4 linked regions of the Drosophila melanogaster genome follow. Each later gene encodes a partner of the first gene's protein in a complex. Each region holds a gene or a part of one and is shown in the gene's direction. Other genes may lie near its edges.

Region 1 (4,048 bases):
CCCGCGCGGCAACATCAAGGCATCCAACGGACAGTATGGCACCTCGAACTCCAAGGTCTTTGCGGCAGGAGGTCAGTTTTATGTCTACTAAGTAATAGGCTTAGTATTAAGAGTTAATCACATCAATCATTGAATGATTTCTGTATCTTTGCATAACAAAAATGTTAATTTATCTTCTGTCCTTTGCAGATTGCCGGCGTGGCCAGTCGCTGGTCGTCTGGGCCATTACCGAGGGTCGCCAGGCCGCACGACAGGTCGATTCCTATCTGACCGGCCGTCCCAGTGGGCTTCCAGGACCTGGTGGCGTCATCGCGACATCCTAAAGAGGATCCACAGAGGCAGCCAGAGCAGCTAATATCAAGTTTTGTGTGCGTGCATCGTCCTTAGCCTATAGTGCGAAATTCTTTAACGATTTGTGATTTTTATTTTCGCGATTTTAGTTTAGTTTACACTAAAAAGACTTGAGTTTTTTACACACCAAACCAAAACGAAACACGTTTCATTTAGTTTTATTTTGATCGCAAAGCTGGCTGGGAATTGTTAGTGGTTCGTCGAGATGCCCTCCATATGATGATGATGATGATGATGATGATGCGGCAGGAGTCAATTAAGAGTGCAAACTGAAATTCTGATTGAAGCCAATCAATATGTATATCTTAACGGAAATCGAATATCCAACAAAAAATCTAAGGACAATAACTAGAAACTTACCGTTATCGTTAAAATGAAAATTAATTGAACATTAAATATTTAGAAAATGCATTTTTTCAATGTTGTTTTAGCTTGAGTTGCCTAATCTATGCAAACGAAATATATGAAGTGAAAATTGATATGCTGATCTCCACCATCCTATATACAATCCATAAATCGTATATACAGAAAGAGAAATGTATTAAACTCGGCCAATATCGAAACGCATTTTTTAGATGTTGTTTTTGTGTTTTGAACTGCATTCGACCGTTGACCGCAAATGTACCTAAGTGGCTATTGTTAAAACAAATCTGCTCTTTGGCAGTTGAATGTGCGAATACAAAGAATTACACAATTTATACAAAACATATTTAACCCAAATGTATACCCTTATACAGACATCTCTATATAAATATATTTATGTGCAAGTATTTGATGAAATAAATATTCAAATTATTAAAAAGCATTTCTCCGATGAGTTGATATTTGTGTTTTGAATTTGGCATGGGAAATATATTTATTAATAGCTTGAAAAGAGAGGCAACGTCTTTTTGAAATTAAAAACCTTTGTTATATGTATACCTTGTAATTTAAAATTATTGGTATTTTACGTAAAGCGTATAACTTTAAAGGAATGAGAAACCATTGTAATGTAGAAAATATTTAATAATATTTCTTTAAATTCATTGTATGGTAACTTATGTAGTTACCGCTTTATTTAATTACTAAGTACAATATCTTGTTGTTTTATGCCGTAAGCTTGTTACGAGCGGAGCTGAAGTTCCAGTGTGTCCAGTCTGACGATAAGAAGACAGAAGATATCGTCCTCCAGGAAAGGTCTTGGCGTTAGTACCTCTTTTCGCCGTGATGCCAGACCGGGTTTCAGTCTGGGCGCCACAATTGAAATAATAATTTTTTATTGCTATAATAGCCATGCTAAGATAATAGAAATTTTGAAAATTGAGTATTTTTTGAAAGTTGTTTCAATGACTTAATTTTATTTTAAATAAATGCGCCACTTTGAAAGCTTGAAAAAAATACGGCTTCAGGGTCATGGTATTTAATGTCGTGGAAATACCACACTCTGGTAACTCTGAGCGGGCGTCACTCTTTTCGTCTCTGGGCACACTGTCGGCCCTCGCACGCGTATTTTTCTGCCGATTTTGCGTGTAAATTTAATTGTGAAAACATAGTAAAACAGCTGCAATCATGGCCAATTTCGATCTGACACGCATCAATTGCCAGTTTTTGGACAGGCATTTGACCTTCCCGCTGCTGGAGTTCTTGTGCGGCAAGGAGGTTAGAAAAGCGACCAGGCGGTGCTCCGCTGGCGGTTGCCGAGTCACCAGTACATAACTATGGGAAATCTTCATATGTGTGACTTTCGTTGCAGATCTACAACCAGCAGGAGCTGCTGGAGTACATTTTGGAGACGGTGAACAAGACGAACATGATCGATTACACGATGGACACCCGCAAGCGTCTCAATCTCAGCCAGGAGATGCCCGAGGAGCTCGTGCAGCGCAAGGCGGAGGTCCTGGCCACGCTTAAGCAGCTGCAGAACGAGGTGGCACCCATCATGAAGGCCACCGACATTCTTAAGAACGGTGAGAGCATGAAGGACTCGAAGACCTTCGTCAACGCCCTTCAGAAGGACTACAATTTTAAGGTGGAGCACCTGGAGAGCGCCTACAAGCTGGCCAAGTACCTCTACGAGTGCGGCAACTATCAGGAGTCCACCTCTTACCTGTACTTCTGCCTCATCGTCATGTCGCCCAACGACAAGGTGCGTATGGAGCTAAATTAACATGAAAAGCGGCAAAAACCACTAAAACAAGAATATTAATTGATATTGTCTCCCAAATTTTGCAGAACTACCTTAATGTGCTGTGGGGCAAGCTGGCCGCCGAGATTCTGACCCTCAACTGGAACACTGCTCTGGAGGATCTGACGCGTTTGCGCGACTACATTGACAACGCCAACTTCAGCACCATCCAGGCCCTGCAGCAACGCACCTGGCTGATCCACTGGTCGGTCCTGGTCTTCTTCAATCACCCCAAGGGACGCGATCTCATTATTGAGATGTTCCTGTACAAGCCCCTGTATTTGAACGCCATTCAGACAATGTGTCCGCACATCATGCGTTACTTGGCCACCGCCGTAGTCATCAACCGCACCCGCCGCAATGCTCTAAAGGATTTGATCAAGGTGATCCAACAGGAGTCGTACACGTACCGCGATCCCATCACCGAGTTTCTGGAGTGTCTGTACGTGAACTTTGATTTCGAGGGAGCGCGTCTGAAGCTGCACGAGTGCCAGACGGTGATCCTCAACGACTTCTTCATCGTGGCCTGCCTGAATGAGTTCGTGGAGGATGCCCGCTTGATGATCTTCGAGACATTCTGCCGCATCCACCAGTGCATCACCATCAGCATGCTGGCCGATAAGCTGAACATGAAGCCCAACGAGGCTGAGTGCTGGATCGTCAACCTTATCCGCAATGCCCGTCTGAATGCCAAGATCGATTCGAAACTGGGTCATGTGGTGATGGGCACCCAGCCCTTGAGTCCCTATCAGCAGCTGGTGGAGAAGATCGACTCGCTGTCCATGCGGTCGGAGCATTTGGCAGGTTTGATTGAGCGCAAGAGCAAGCAGAAGCAGAATCAGGAGTCGGCCGACTCCTGGAAGTACTACTAGTTGCTGACTTTTTATCCACAATTAAGTTAAGACTCTTTGTACCCTTTAAAAACCGATGATTGCGCGCAGTCGAGCGAATAAATTAACATCTTACTCATTCGCTCAATTCAACATTTGATTTTATTTCCTTCGGAATCAAAATTAGTTATACAAAAAACAATACCAAGGCGGGAATTTGTAATTTCGCTAGCCTACAGAATGCAAACGTCTGCTAATCCTAGAATTAGTTGTTTGTACCTACAAGTGGGTGCTGGATCTTTATGACGATCTGGCCCCGGATCACACTATTGATTGCTACCGCGATTTCTGCTTGACCACCAACCAGGATCTGACGGGCAGGTCCTGCAAGTAAACGATCCATTTGCGCACCAGCAGCAGCCACACTATGCCGTACAGAACGCAAATGCCCGACTCCAAGTAGTACCCATCGAAGGTTATCTCGCACTTGCCAGCCGACGCTTCACAGCTCTGCGGGAGAAAATTAAGAAAAATATTTGTTTAGTTACTTTTATCTCATAACTGGCAAAGTTTATCTTTTCCTGGTTTGGGGTAAAACTTTCACCATACATATGTATCCATATACAATAATAATAATAATCTTGTATGCTGTAGAATCTCTCTCTGAGCACTCACCTGTTGCTCCTCCTTGCCCTGGCAGGTA
Region 2 (4,371 bases), on another chromosome or scaffold:
TACTTCCGATAACACAACCGATAACTAAAACTTTAAAACATAGCGGTACCTTAAGCTTTATGAATTTGTTGTTTTGACAAACGGCTCTTGACTTTTTCAAAATGTCCGATTTCGAGTACGGAATTTGCCCTTACGACAAATCGCACCGCATCTTGCTCTTCCGGATGCCCAAGCACTTAATTAAGTGCGAGAAGAACTACTGTGGACCGCCGCTGCAGACCTGCAAGTACAACGCCACACACCGAGTCCAGGACATGGAGAAGCATCTGAAGGAGTGTGACTACTATCTCCGCAGCATCGAAAACCAGGCGGTGCAGATAGCGCTTCGTAGTCGCATACCGCCCAAACAGGAAGATGGACATGATGTGGACACACCATTTTAGGCTAAGACAAGCAGGCATCCAAATATACCATGTACATATGTGATAGTATATGAACCATAAAATAAAAAGCTTCTTGAAGAAGCATGCACAATATTCGTTTGATTGCATTTATGTTCTGATTAAAATAAGAATCTTAAACTAGAGGAGCAAAAGTTTTGGTATTTACAAGCCTGTTGCTATTGCATTGCACAAAGCCTGGGGTCAAATACATTCGTCTGGCGTTTAAAACATTTGCAGGCACTTTTCCACAACTATTTACAGTCTAAGATTACGTCTAGGACAAGCTACAGCATTACACCATATCGAGGTCCGATTCTGCCGCTTCCTCGTCGATCAGCTTTCGTTTATCCGTTGATTTGGTCGTGGCATCACTTAAATTGGACAGCGGACGCACCTTGCCCAAATTAACCACCGGGCTTTGGGTGTAGAGATAGATGGCGTAGGATACAACCGCGATGGCCAGCGCGGTGTTCATGTAAATGGGTATGGAGAAGAGGAAGTAGCATAGGACTGCCGTGAAGAGCAACTCCAGAGCGCTCGCGAAGGTCTTTAGAATGGAGTTCATGTACTTGAGGAAGAAACTCGTGACAATGCCAATAGCCGCATTGTTAACAATAATGATTAGCACGCTAAAGCGCATAATACTGCCCAGATTCTGCGGACTAAAGGCATCAAGGAGCTCGCCGCGCAGCAAGAGGATGACTGCATTGCAGACAATCGAGTCCAGGTACATGAAGACATTCTGTACAAAGATATTCACATCGGCTCCCTTATCTTTAAGCAGATACTCATTGTAAACGCCCGCCAGACAAGAGCAAATTGTCTGTGCCAGAATGAAGACGGCACTCAGGCTAAAATCGAAGCCGGACATGTTCTTGCCGTGAGCGTGCGTCTCTGCAGAAGTTGTTTTATTATGTGATTGCAGCTGCTGCTGTATGGCTGCGGACTCGCTGTCATCATTCGCATCGCTGTAGAAGCTGCCGAAATCGACCTGCTTCATCATACAGCCGAGTGTCAGCAGTATGAGGGAGATCCATTGCCTTTGCGACAGGTACTTCTTGAAGATAATTTGGAATAGTATGCCCGTGACAACGACACGTAGCTGCAGTAGCAGATAGTAGGTGGTGGGATCGAATGTGGCCAAGTTGACAAAGGCCAAATTGTTGTACAGGCAGTAGAGAAAGGCGGGCACCATGTACAAGCCCAATACATTCCGATCCTTCTGAACATCGCGCACCAGGGAGCGTAGGTTGTTGCTGTGAATGAAATCGCGGTTTAATAGCGAGACAAAGGAGCGCCTCCACTCCTACTCACTCTCGGCAATACAGACAGGTGGAGACTATCAATTTAAAGACCTCGGTTAGCAGCACAACCGTGACGGTATTGTAGCCATAGGAGTTATTCGATTCCTGAGATGCTGTGACAAAGATGCCTGCAAAATAGACAGGAATTAGGGTGCGGCTTTGGCTTGCGTAAAAAGCCTTAATAAGGCAGCTGCATACCCTGTCCTATGAATAGGGACATGTACAACAGGAAGATCACAAATGTGAGCTTGGTGGGGAACAATTCACGCCAATTAGTTGACATTTCTGCGGTCTTCGTACTGCCAGCGTTGCGTTGCTAATGCGAAGAGAACTAAGACTAGCTACAAGTTGCGGCAACCGCAGTTATCAGTACCGTTCCGCTCGTTCGTGACAAGTGGGCCGTTTCTCGGTTTTCTAGGAAGTACAATTTTGAGTTTGTTTCTGTTGCTTTTCCACTGATAAACAAAATATATTTTGGGCCTTTTTTTATCGCTCGCCCGAACAGCTGATTTTAAAGCAGTGCACGCTTTTCAACACTTCAACCCACACAAAAATTGTGGTGTTGCGAAACGCCCTTTTACCACTGCAGCCGAGTTCACGTCGTGGGTCTTTTCGCTTACAATTCGTCAACATGGCAAATCGCGCAAATCGTCATGCTGCTCGCACCGAGGATTCGGATAATACCATTAACTACGTCCAATGCGACGGACTGGTGAGTAGTGCTGTTGGCCAAAAGACCTGGCCGAGATTGGCCCGTGGGAACCGGCGCGAAAGCCGGAAAAGTTAATGCCACGCGCTGTCTCAGAAATTTGCGTGCTTTGTGTGTGTTTGTATGGGTGTTCGTGAGGACATGGGCGTAGAGCTATAAGGAAAAGGGGGCCGGTCTCTTCATTACCATAGCACAAAAAACTTCAGTCAAATGTTTTCTTCAGAGAAACTATTAAAAGAAAGTCCGAAATATATCTACTTTCCACGCCCCTGTTCAAATGCAAATAGTTGTCTGTCGCTAATTGATTTTGGAACATAATTACTACGATCACTTTACCTTGCAGGCCGTCATGAAGATGGTGAAGCACTGCCATGAGGAGTCGAGCAACATGGACCTCGCCCAGGGCGCCCTGCTCGGTCTGGTGGTAGACAAGTGCCTGGAGATCACCAACTGCTTCCCGTTTCCCAAGAGCGGCGATGAGACCATGGACGAGGAGATGTACCAGCTGACCGTGATGCGTCGCCTGCGTCGCGTCAACGTAGATCATCTCCATGTGGGCTGGTACCAGAGCTCCGACGTGGGCAACAGCCTGTCAATGGCTCTGTTGGAATCGCAGTACCACTACCAGACCAGCATTGAAGAGTCCGTCGTTGTCGTCTACGATACGCAGAAGTCATCCCGCGGATTCCTGTGCTTGAAGGCCTACCGCCTTACTCCGCAGGCCATTCAGATGTACAAGGATGGCGACTTCACTCCAGAGGCATTCCGCACCCTGAAGGTCGGCTACGAGAACCTCTTCGCCGAGATTCCCATTGTGATCAAGAACTCGCCGCTGACCAACATTATGATGAGCGAGCTGAACGAGCTGCTGCCCGAGGACAAGGGGCACAACTTCCTGGACCTGGGCACCGCCACCGTATTGGAGAACCAAATGCGTAGCCTGATCGAGCGCGTCGACGAGTTGTACCAGGAGGCAGTGCGCTATAACAAGTACCAGCAGGTGGTCTTCAAGCAGGATACGGTACGTAGCAATATAATTAAATATGTAAAAATTCCTAATCGCTTTCCTTGCATTTATATTTTTTAGGAGAAGCACCGTGCTCTGGCTAAGCTGGCCGCCGAGAACGCCGTTCGCACATCGAAGGGAGAGCCCACGGTGCCAGAGGAGGAAGTGATCAAACAGTTCCGCCCCATGACTGCGCCCAACCGCCTGACGGCCACCATAACCTCTGGCCAGATCAATACCCACGCCCAGCATATCGCACAATTCTGTTCGCAATCGCTGGCCAAACTCTTCATCACGGAATCGCTGCAAATTGCCAAGGAAGCAAAGGAAACCAAATAGATTAGCTAATGTTAAGCGTTTTTTAAGCTGAGGCAACAACATTCACTACCCACAAACATAGCAACTGCACACACAGACGTCGAAAATAAACCAAACAAGCGATGAGTGGGCTTGGAAGCGAACTGCCAGCTGATTTCTTCTTTATTGTACTCTCCATTTGCTCAATAGAATGGCCAATTCAAACCGCCCCAAAAAAAGAAAACCACCACCCGCTATGCAGCCAAAAATTGGTACTGCTTCTGCGCACGCCGGATGTTTGGTTTCACTTCTCGATGAGACTTTCCGGGGGAGTGTTGCTGCCACTGACGACATCGACGCACTTTTCACACCACCCCACAAGCAGCTGCTTATCATTTGGTTTGTTCTTTTCGCTTCGCCTTTTCGCTAACCAGCTTCAGTTAGCCTAACTAACTAAATTACTAACCCGATGGCAAAATGCTGTCCTACGACCTCAACGAACGCCTGCTAACCGCCGTACAGAGCGGAGATTTCGAGCAGGCTCTGGGCTGCATCATGCAAGGTGCCCAGGCCTCGTATGTATCGCCCACTTGCGGACGCACTGCCGTGGGCACGGCGGCCATTCTGGGCGATGCCGAACTGTTGGAGCTGCTGCTTCAATCCTGCGAGGAG
Region 3 (3,413 bases), on another chromosome or scaffold:
ATAAATTTTCCAAACTGGCCATGGGAAGAGTTATCAAATCCAAAGCTGTAGAAGACATTAGGAAAGCCCTAAGAGATATCGTGTTTTATTATGGAGTGCCTAAATTAATAGTAATGGACAATGAAAAGTCCCTCAACTCAGCCTCTATCAAATTCATGTTGACAGACCAGCTGGGTATTGAGCTCTACAAAGCACCTCCGTATAAGAGTACAGTAAATGGACAGATAGAAAGATTTCACTCCACACTCTCTGAAATAATGAGATGTTTGAAAGGAGATGGAACACATAGGGGCTTCGAGGAACTTCTCGATAGGGCCATCTATGAATATAACTACACTGTCCATTCTGTCACAAAAAAACGACCTCTAGAGGTGTTCTTCGGCAGGATAGCTACCGTAGCTCCAGAAAAATATGAACAAGCTAGACTGGACAATATAGACCGACTTAGGCAAAAACAGGAAACCGACATAGAATACCACAACCGGACAAGAAAGCCCATAAAAACCTATATCAAAGGGCAAGAAATTTTCGTTAGGGTTAATACAAGATTAGGTTCTAAGTTATCAAGTAGATTTAGGAAGGAACTAGTTAAGGAAGACCGAAGTACCACAATATTAACAGAATCAGGGAAATTAGTACATAAAAGTAACATAAGATCATGATTGCTTCAGAATAATTACTGTGGCCACATCGATAGACAAGTAGAACATAGAAACATTAAACATACTGATTAACGTAACCACGAGAATTAAATTTGAAACGATTCGACTTTGACAGACGAGTTGGCCATAGGTTTGCAGAATTAGATTGGGCTCGTGAAAGAAGAGATTGCGTTGTGAATGCGTTTCTGCGGAGCGAGTTTAAATTGAATGAGACCAGTAGCCTACTTGAAAACAATATACCGATTTCTGCCTTGACGGTCAAATAAATGTTAAAACTTTCACACGTTCTCGCTTTACACAACGGAACTACAATTTGAATGCCATTGAAATCTCCATATTGAATCAGTTAATTCCTTATTTCTTATATTTTAAAACATGATCAGTAAAGGAAACTAATAATAATAAATAAATAATAATTTAATTTGAATAATAATAAAATTTACCAATTAAAGACGAAATGTACGGAATCAATGCCTTCTGCAAAGGTTCCAATGGTCTAAAAATATGTAGATATAAATTCATTAGTAATTTAGTAAAAACCAGAATTTTAATAGAAGCAATCAAGTTGTCAATGCAGAACACATCCGAGTTGCACAAACCTCGAACGCACGCAACAATAAACACCTGGCATTCAAACCATTAATGCTGTGCCCAAACTACCACGAATCACCCCACCAACGATGCGACTCAAAAACATCCCATCCTTATGATGACCGCTCGAGGACAAGCGTCAATTAAGAGGGGAGGAGTTATTGCCCTGCAATTGATTCTCTAACATCTTGTGGTTCCACATAGTCTCCGCTGCCATCAACGCCAACGAACGGTTAAGCGCGACATCGACACTTCTGCGCTGCGCCGCGGCCGACGCCTGCTGCGCCGCTGCCGACGACTTCACTTGATTGCTAGGGACTTAGGGAAACATTTTGTACGCTAGATTTAGTTTCAAATGATAAATTGCAATAAACGGTCGCTTGCGATCTTCAAAATCAAATCGATAACTTATTAACTTATATGTAACGAAATTTCAAATGGTATATTCCAAAAAGTGCAAAGTGGTATTAGCGGTATATTTTTTGGACACACACGGCATATTTTTGTGACCGCGGCAGGGTAACACTCTTTTGTTGCTGATTAAAAATCCGCTTAACTCGTGGCGAAATTTGCATTTACGATTTCGCATACAAATCGCGTTGAAAATCAGAGTGAGTGCACCCCAAGCAAGCGCCCAGTGTAGCCCCACTCACTGCGCCCTCAATTCCTTTCAGATGCCGGGCGTTGAAACGATCAAATCCTCCTGGGCGGACGAGGTGGAGCTCGACTATGGTGGACTACCTCCGACGACGGAGACGGTGGAGAACGGACAGAAGTACGTGACGGAGTACAAGTACAACAAGGACGACAAGAAGACGAAGGTGGTGCGCACGTACAAGATATCCAAGCAGGTGGTGCCCAAGACGGTGGCCAAGCGACGCACCTGGACGAAGTTCGGCGACTCGAAGAACGACAAGCCCGGCCCCAACTCGCAGACGACCATGGTGTCCGAGGAGATCATCATGCAGTTCCTCAACTCCAAGGAGGACGAGAAGGCCAACGATCCGCTGCTAGATCCCACCAAGAATATTGCCAAGTGCCGTATCTGCAACGGTGAGCATTGGTCGGTCAACTGCCCGTACAAGGGCACGGCGATGGACACGAATATGATGGAGAAGAAGGCTTCGGCAGCCGCCGCGGCCGCCGTCGATGCGCCCAAGTCCGGCAAGTATGTGCCGCCGTTCCTCAAGGACAGCCAAAAGGGCGCGCTGGGAATGCGCGGACGCGACGACACGGCCGCCATTAGGATATCGAATCTGTCGGAGTCGATGACCGAGGCGGATCTCGAGGAGCTGGTGAAGAAGATTGGACCGCAGAGCAAGATGTATCTCGCCCGCGACAAGAACACCGGACTCTGCAAGGGATTCGCCTACGTGCACTTCAAGCAGCGCAAGGATGCGGCCGCCGCCATCGAGATCCTCAATGGACACGGCTACGACCACTTGATCCTCAGCGTCGAATGGTCGAAACCCCAGAACAATTAGTTAGTCCCGTTCCCACTACCCGCGTTTACTGCTCATAGGAGTCCGTTCGAGTCGATCACACAATTTGTCCCTATGCTATGCTAAGTTTGCTACAAATAAATCTTAAAACAGCCCCCATGGGCACCGAAAACCAGATGACTATGCTCTGCAAGGATACAATGGCATCTAGAATCGTATATTTTTCATATTTGATATAACTTAATCGCTCTTCTTTAGTTTTGCGGACCAACCAACACAAATGCTTTCGACTTTTGCTCTAATATAGCTTTCTCCCTCGTTTTAAAGGACGCAAGGCCACCAAATCGTAGACACTGGGAACAACATATAAAAGAAATATTTTTTATTTGTTACTTAAAAAACTTGAATATGATTTGTTAAGTGTATTTTTTAACGACATGCAGCTACCCACATATGGTTAACAAGTTAACCTTACGCGGTGCCCACTGTAGAAAGCATGATTCCAGCCGATCTGGCAACGCCATCGTTTGCATGCGAATAAACACCATGGTGTTGTTGTTTTTGTGTTTGCCAGCGATTTGCGTAAATTGTGTTTGTTTTTGTGGCCAAAAATAGAAATCAGATGCCGCAAAATATTCAAAAAGCATTCGAAACAATATTTTTGATCTTCAGGTGTGCGCTCATTTTCAGTCGTCAGTGAGACGGGCCCCCAGGCGAA
Region 4 (6,276 bases), on another chromosome or scaffold:
CTTTTTCTCCACCTTTTCCGTGGCCTCTCTTATTCCATAGGGAGCTTAAATTACCAAAGAATGAACATTTTAAGTTTGGTATAAAAAAGAATAAACCTACGATCTGTTATTATGCAGTCGAACGAGATGCGGGAATGCCACACCGGGTTGGAGAAATCGGCCACCACCACATCCATGTAGCGATCAGCGCAGCCGTACTGCTTCAAGTTGGCCCGAATGCTCTCGTCCTTCTCCCGCACTTTTTGGGTTATCCGGCTCGGCCGGCAGCGGGCGTGCACCATCATGTAGTCTATGTCCGCTCCCAGGACATACCCGCCCCACTTGGCGGCGCTTACCAAAAGCGAGCCCGTTCCCACAAACGGATCAAATACCAGATCCCCATTGCGTACCATCGCTTGGTTGGCCATTAGCAGGCTCAGCTGGGCGTCCATGCTGGTGTTACCGATAAACTTACGATGCTTCAGCGAAAGCTCCTTGATCAAATGCCGCTGACCATGGGCCATCAGCCGACCAAACAGAATGTCCTCCGGCTCAGGTGGCACAGCCGTTGGATCCAAGCCCCAAAACTCGATGTACCACCACTCCACCACGGGTTTCTCCAGATTGACCGTTCCCTCTATTGGCAGGTAATCCATGGACTCGATTTTCTCAACCTTTTCCCTCTGGCTGAAGTGCTTGTTGTAGGTCTCCACAACGATCTTAAAACTGGCATCCACCCGAAAGTATTCCGCAAGCGAATGCCAGTTCGCGGTAACATGATTCCGTAGCCTCTGGTGAAACTCGGGTAATTTGTTGGAGTGGGCGTAGAGCTCGAACATGGCGCGCAACGAAACGGACCTGGATGCATATAGCAACGCAGTATCCGTGTCCCGAAATTCGACCAACCAAAATGGTTTCTGTAATACCGAAATTAAAAAATATAAATATAACTATATATGCTGATGCTTCTATACTACAGAAGTATTTATATATGTGTCGCAAGCTCTAAAAATAATGTAATCAAAGTATCCTACACTAAAAACATCTAACAGGTACGCGGATCGTATTCGTAATGTATGTATACCAGGTATCAGGTATCCTTTCGAAACCTTTTAGGTTTTGTAGTTCCTGAGATCTCAACGATCGTATATAATTTATAGCTAGTAATGCTAAATTTCTACCTGTTGAAAACACTTTTGAAAATATAGTTTACTATTTTCTTCCTCTTACAAATACATATAAAATTTTTTTACGTTAAAAATATTAAACATATTAATAAAATTCCAAGTTTGGATATAACATTAAACCACAGGTTTTAAAAGTTATAGGGGAGGTGGAATTTGTTAATCTTGCGTTTTCAAAATTCTGGTACTAAAACACTTTACCCTGGTGTGTTCTGTAAGCCGCCGGACCTGAAGTCCAAACATTTTGACCAGCGAATCAAACTCCTGCACGCGAAAGTCGACATGCTCCTGGGCGAACCACAAGATAAACTTCCTCCAGTTGACCATGTCGCTATTTTAATTAATGAATTGTTTATTTATATTCTAGAGCGACTTCATTACTCCTCGTGTTATTGCTGTGAGCTAGCGGAGTTGCACTGCGATTAGCTGACCATCGGCAACTATCGGCCTGAACTATCGATAACGCAGCCAGGTGTAGCCCTGCGTGCCGTCGACTCGGCCATTTTGCATTAATATTGCAGCCACACGTAGGCGAGCCGAAGATTTATACAATTTTCAGCAGCCCCAGGTCTCAAAACGCTCCAGACCTGCTATCAAAATCAACTTGAAGTGCCGCCGCAAGTAAGTAAAGCGATCGGAAATGGCCCGCTATACGCAACGTCCGGAAAACGCCCTAAAAAGGGCTAATGGTGAGTGCTGAAAATTTTCCATGCGGTGTCTGAAGAGAAACTTTCGTCTTCGCGAATCGTGTGCTCTCTTAACTCGACGCCGCTCTCTTCGTCACAGAGTTCATTGAAGTGGGAAAGCCGCTTAGGGCGCTGGACACGCTGCAGGAAGTTTTCCGGAACAAGCGATGGAACTATGCCTACTCGGAGACGGTCATCGAACCGCTCATGTTCAAGTACCTGTACCTCTGCGTGGAACTCAAGAAGTCGCACATCGCCAAGGAGGGACTATTCCAGTACCGGAACATGTTCCAGCTGGTGAACGTGAACTCTCTGGAAAATGTAATCCGCGGCTACCTGAAAATGGCCGAAGAGCACACAGAGGCTGCCCAAGCCCAGTCCTCGGCGGCCGTTGCTGTTCTGGAGCTGGATGACCTGGACAACATTGCCACGCCAGAGAGCATCCTAATGAGCGCAGTGTGTGGCGAGGACGCACAGGACCGCTCCGACCGCACTATTCTGCTCCCGTGGGTCAAGTTCCTGTGGGAGTCCTACTGCCAGTGTCTAGAGCTGCTGCGCGTAAACACGCATTGCGAGGCGCTGTACCACGATATCGCTCGCATGGCCTTCCAGTTCTGCCTTAAGTACAACCGCAAGAGCGAGTTTCGCCGCTTGTGCGACAAGCTGCGCAAACACTTGGAGGACATTTGCAAGAGCAGCAACCAGACCACCGGTGTCTCGATCAACAAGGTGGAAACGCAGCAGCTCTGCTTGGACACCAGGTTGTACCTTCTTGACTCGGCCATCCAGATGGAGCTGTGGCAAGAGGCCTACAAGGCAATCGAGGATATCCATGGCCTGATGGCTCTGTCCAAGAAGACACCCGTGCCCAAAACCATGGCCAACTACTACCAAAAATTAGCCATGGTCTTTAGCAAGGCCGGCAACCAGTTGTTCCACGCTGCAGCGCTGCTGAAGCTCTTCCAGCTGACGCGCGAGCTGAAGAAGAACCTGACGAAGGACGACTTGCAGCGTATGGCTGCCCACGTTCTCCTGGCCACTCTTTCTATTCCGTTGCCTTCGGCCCATCCAGAGTTCGACAGGTTTATTGAGGCGGACAAGAGCCCCCTGGAGAAGGCGCAGAAGTTGGCCGTGCTTTTGGGCCTGCCCCAGCCACCTACTCGCGTCTCCCTTATTCGTGAAGTGGTAAGTATCACGCAATATAGTAATGACTTATGACTAATTCATAAACACAGGTGCGCTTGAATGTTCCTCAACTCGTATCTGAGGACTTTCGCAATCTATACAACTGGTTGGAGGTGGATTTCAACCCACTGAATCTGTGCAAGCGCATTCAGTCTATCGTGGACTTCATTGAGAACGGGCCCGAAAACGCTCTGCTCACTCCTTACATTCAATCGCTGAAGGACGTGACTATAATGCGTCTGATTCGTCAGATCTCTCAGGTTTATGAGAGTATTAAGTTCCAGCGTCTCTTGCAGCTGGCCAGTTTTTGCAACATTTTTGAATTGGAAAAACTGCTGGTCGAGTCCGTGCGTCACAATGACATGCAGATTCGTATTGACCACCAGAAGAACAGTATCTATTTCGGCACTGATCTGACCGAGAGTCAACGCGAGTACCGCCCCGACGGACCCGCTTTGCAATCGATGCCCTCGGAACAGATCCGCTCTCAGTTGGTTAATATGTCTACTGTTCTGACACGGGCAGTTTCAATCGTCTACCCGAACCGTGAACGTGACCAGCGGGCCAAGCTCCGCAACCAGATGGTAAACCATTACCATGAGATCAAGGATCGCGAGCACCAGCGTATTCTTCAGCGACAGAAGATCATCGAGGACAGAAAGGAGTACATCGAGAAGCAGAATAATGCTCGTGAAGAGGAAGAGGCGCGGCGTCAGGAGGAGGAATCGCGGAAGGCCAAACTGGCCGAACAGAAGCGCCTCGAGCAGGAGCAAGAAGAAAGAGAGCGCAAGCGCCATCAGAACGAAATCCAAGCCATCCGGGAGAAGAGTCTCAAGGAGAAGGTTCAGCAAATCTCGCAGACGGCTCATGGTAAGAAGATGCTTTCCAAGCTGGATGAGGAAGGCATTAAGAAGTTGGACGCCGAGCAGATCGCCAAGCGGGAAAGCGAGGAACTTCAGCGCGAGGCCAAGGAACTGCAGTCGAAACTCAAATCGCAAGAGAAGAAAATCGACTACTTCGAACGCGCCAAGCGCCTGGAGGAGATACCGCTTTTCGAAAAATACTTGGCCGAAAAGCAGGTTAAGGACAAGGAGTTCTGGGAAGCAACCGAGAAGACACGCATCGAGAATGCCATTGCCGAACGGAAGGATGCCGTCGCCCAGCAGGAGCGTCTCAAGCGCATGTATCCGGACCGGGATGAATTCCTTGAGGCCCTTAAAAAAGAACGTGCCTCCCTCTACGTCGAAAAGCTCAAAAAGTTTGAGGCTGCTCTGGAGGCAGAGCGCAAAAAGCGCTTAGCCGACCGCATTATTCGACGCCGCGAGGAGCGCCGACAGGCCTTCCTTCGCGAGAAAGAGGAGGAGCGTCTTCGCAAGGAGGAAGAGATTCGCTTGGCACAGGCTGCCGAAGAGCGCGCCGCAGCAGAAGCCCGCCGTTTGGAGCGTGAGGCTGAGGACGAAAAGCGTCGTGCCCAATACGAAAAGCAGCGTGCCAAGGAGGAGGAAGCTGAGCGTAAAATCAAGGAAGATCGAGACCGCCTGTCCAGGGAGTTGGCCTCGGAGCGCGAACGCACTGAAAAGGACCGTGACACATGGCGTCCTCGAGGCGGTGACCGTCCAAGCGCATCTAACGGCGGATCCAGCGAGTGGCGTCGTGCTGCACCTGCGGCCAGTGAACGCAACGACCGTGGTGGCGAGCGTATCGAGCGCGGAGGAGAACGGATCGAGCGCGGTGGAGAACGCCTCGAGCGTGGTGGAGAGCGCATTGAACGAGGCGGTGACCGTGACCGCAAGGACAACGAGGGAGCGGACTCCTCTTGGCGTGTGCGACGAGAGCCAGATTCACAGCGTGCAGCTGCTCCCAAAGACAGTGGCGCTCCGCAATCGCGCGATGACAAGTGGCGGCGTGGCGGAGAACGTGACCGCGATTTCCGCATTGATGGGGCTCGTCGCGACAGGGATGATGGGCCTCGGCGTGACCGTGACGATGGTCCTCGCCGGGATCGTGACGATGAGCGCGGTGGATTCCGCCGCGCCGACGGGGCGCGTCGTACCGACGAGCCTCAGCGGGAAACTGGAGGGAACTGGCGCGACGCTCCACGCCACGCTGATCGGGAAACCCGTCGCCCAGCTGAGAGGCGCGACCGAGATGTGCGCGAGACTCGTGGCGATCAACGCGGCTCTGCTCCTAAGGAGGCAGCCAGTGGCGGAGTAGGCGGAAACTGGCGTACTGCTCCTGCGACCCGTGAGGAAAAACCAGCAGCTAAGCGCGATCAAGCCCAGGAAAAGGGTAAGTAATCTCAGCAGCAAACCTAATTTCCATTCTTATCAATGCGTTACATCTTTCAGAGAACAAAGCTGGCGATGATGGCGAGTGGACCAGCGTTAAGCGTCGTTAATTTTTATTTTCATCATCGTATATACCCAGCATAATATTCTTAATAAGTTTTTATTTCATCCGACTTGTACTTTATTGGTGTAGAGCTCAGTCGGCCGGTATATTATATCTATCTATCCAAAGCTTGTGCCAGATAGTTAAAATTGAGATGGTTGTAGGACCGATACTAATTAAAGTACTTTCGAATAAAATAACTATGTTCTAAAAAATTGAAAAGTGAAATTGTCGAATGAGAACCTTGGGAATCAAAGAAATGAAAAGTGGTTATTATTGGTTTAATTCAAAAATTCTAATTCTTATTTATCAGATTTCAGGATGAACCAAGCTTCCCTTATACGTACAGTGATTTATAAACCAGTCCCTTTAAATTTATATTTCGACAGAGCTAAAACTACATTAAAATGTAGTTTGCAAACTAAACAAATGCGGGTTCTTCTATAGTTTTACAAAGTTCGTTCTTGGAAGCGTGGCTTTTTAACATTAGGTTTTTTAATTGCCCATAAATAAAAAATGCATTCAAAAGTATTGTAAATTGTATTATCACATACGCTTGACTTATTTTAAAAAAGTGACATCTTTCTTAGGTAAAACCATATTCGTTGGGAATAAATTCGAGTAAATTTAGAAAAGCTTTTATAGCAAGCAAAACAAAAATATTCTGCCTCTGAAAATTTGCCTCGATAATATGAGCCCGCGCCTTCTTCGCACACTCAACTAGTATTTTCTTGCGAACTTGGCACTAATGCCATGGCCTCGCGGATCCTCCGCGGTGCGCGCCCCTGGTCACACTGTCTGTGCCGCTGCCGCGAATCTCGGTCCACGTGAACAAATTTTGGACAATGTGC

The links.
Region 2: eIF3e (region 1) and eIF3h share a complex: the UniProt entries of both Drosophila melanogaster proteins name them as parts of the eukaryotic translation initiation factor 3 (eIF-3) complex.
Region 3: eIF3e (region 1) and eIF3g1 share a complex: the UniProt entries of both Drosophila melanogaster proteins name them as parts of the eukaryotic translation initiation factor 3 (eIF-3) complex.
Region 4: eIF3e (region 1) and eIF3a share a complex: the UniProt entries of both Drosophila melanogaster proteins name them as parts of the eukaryotic translation initiation factor 3 (eIF-3) complex.

Annotation. Positions count from the first base shown.
Region 1 is NT_037436.4:16,784,685-16,788,732, reverse strand, and holds eIF3e (eukaryotic translation initiation factor 3 subunit e), read left to right. Parts: upstream 1-1,791; 5' UTR 1,792-1,899; coding exon 1,900-1,989; intron 1,990-2,083; coding exon 2,084-2,476; intron 2,477-2,562; coding exon 2,563-3,387; 3' UTR 3,388-3,491; downstream 3,492-4,048. Other genes in the region: CG9674 (uncharacterized protein), read left to right, coding at 1-71, 190-323; CG9706 (uncharacterized protein), read right to left, coding at 3,682-3,855, 4,021-4,048. UniProt on the Drosophila melanogaster protein: Component of the eukaryotic translation initiation factor 3 (eIF-3) complex, which is involved in protein synthesis of a specialized repertoire of mRNAs and, together with other initiation factors, stimulates binding of mRNA and methionyl-tRNAi to the 40S ribosome.
Region 2 is NT_033779.5:5,050,683-5,055,053, reverse strand, and holds eIF3h (eukaryotic translation initiation factor 3 subunit h), read left to right. Parts: upstream 1-1,970; 5' UTR 1,971-2,318; coding exon 2,319-2,399; intron 2,400-2,739; coding exon 2,740-3,417; intron 3,418-3,483; coding exon 3,484-3,741; 3' UTR 3,742-3,861; downstream 3,862-4,371. Other genes in the region: CG14036 (uncharacterized protein), read left to right, coding at 102-383; senju, read right to left, coding at 676-1,639, 1,698-1,815, 1,886-1,970; CG9121 (uncharacterized protein), read left to right, coding at 4,177-4,371. UniProt on the Drosophila melanogaster protein: Component of the eukaryotic translation initiation factor 3 (eIF-3) complex, which is involved in protein synthesis of a specialized repertoire of mRNAs and, together with other initiation factors, stimulates binding of mRNA and methionyl-tRNAi to the 40S ribosome.
Region 3 is NC_004354.4:2,608,697-2,612,109, reverse strand, and holds eIF3g1 (eukaryotic translation initiation factor 3 subunit g1), read left to right. Parts: upstream 1-1,773; 5' UTR 1,774-1,864; intron 1,865-1,927; coding exon 1,928-2,737; 3' UTR 2,738-2,863; downstream 2,864-3,413. UniProt on the Drosophila melanogaster protein: RNA-binding component of the eukaryotic translation initiation factor 3 (eIF-3) complex, which is involved in protein synthesis of a specialized repertoire of mRNAs and, together with other initiation factors, stimulates binding of mRNA and methionyl-tRNAi to the 40S ribosome.
Region 4 is NT_033777.3:4,429,275-4,435,550, reverse strand, and holds eIF3a (eukaryotic translation initiation factor 3 subunit a), read left to right. Parts: upstream 1-1,655; 5' UTR 1,656-1,803; coding exon 1,804-1,852; intron 1,853-1,949; coding exon 1,950-3,034; intron 3,035-3,084; coding exon 3,085-5,323; intron 5,324-5,382; coding exon 5,383-5,432; 3' UTR 5,433-5,753; downstream 5,754-6,276. Other genes in the region: CG1074 (uncharacterized protein), read right to left, coding at 1-44, 101-896, 1,365-1,490. UniProt on the Drosophila melanogaster protein: RNA-binding component of the eukaryotic translation initiation factor 3 (eIF-3) complex, which is involved in protein synthesis of a specialized repertoire of mRNAs and, together with other initiation factors, stimulates binding of mRNA and methionyl-tRNAi to the 40S ribosome.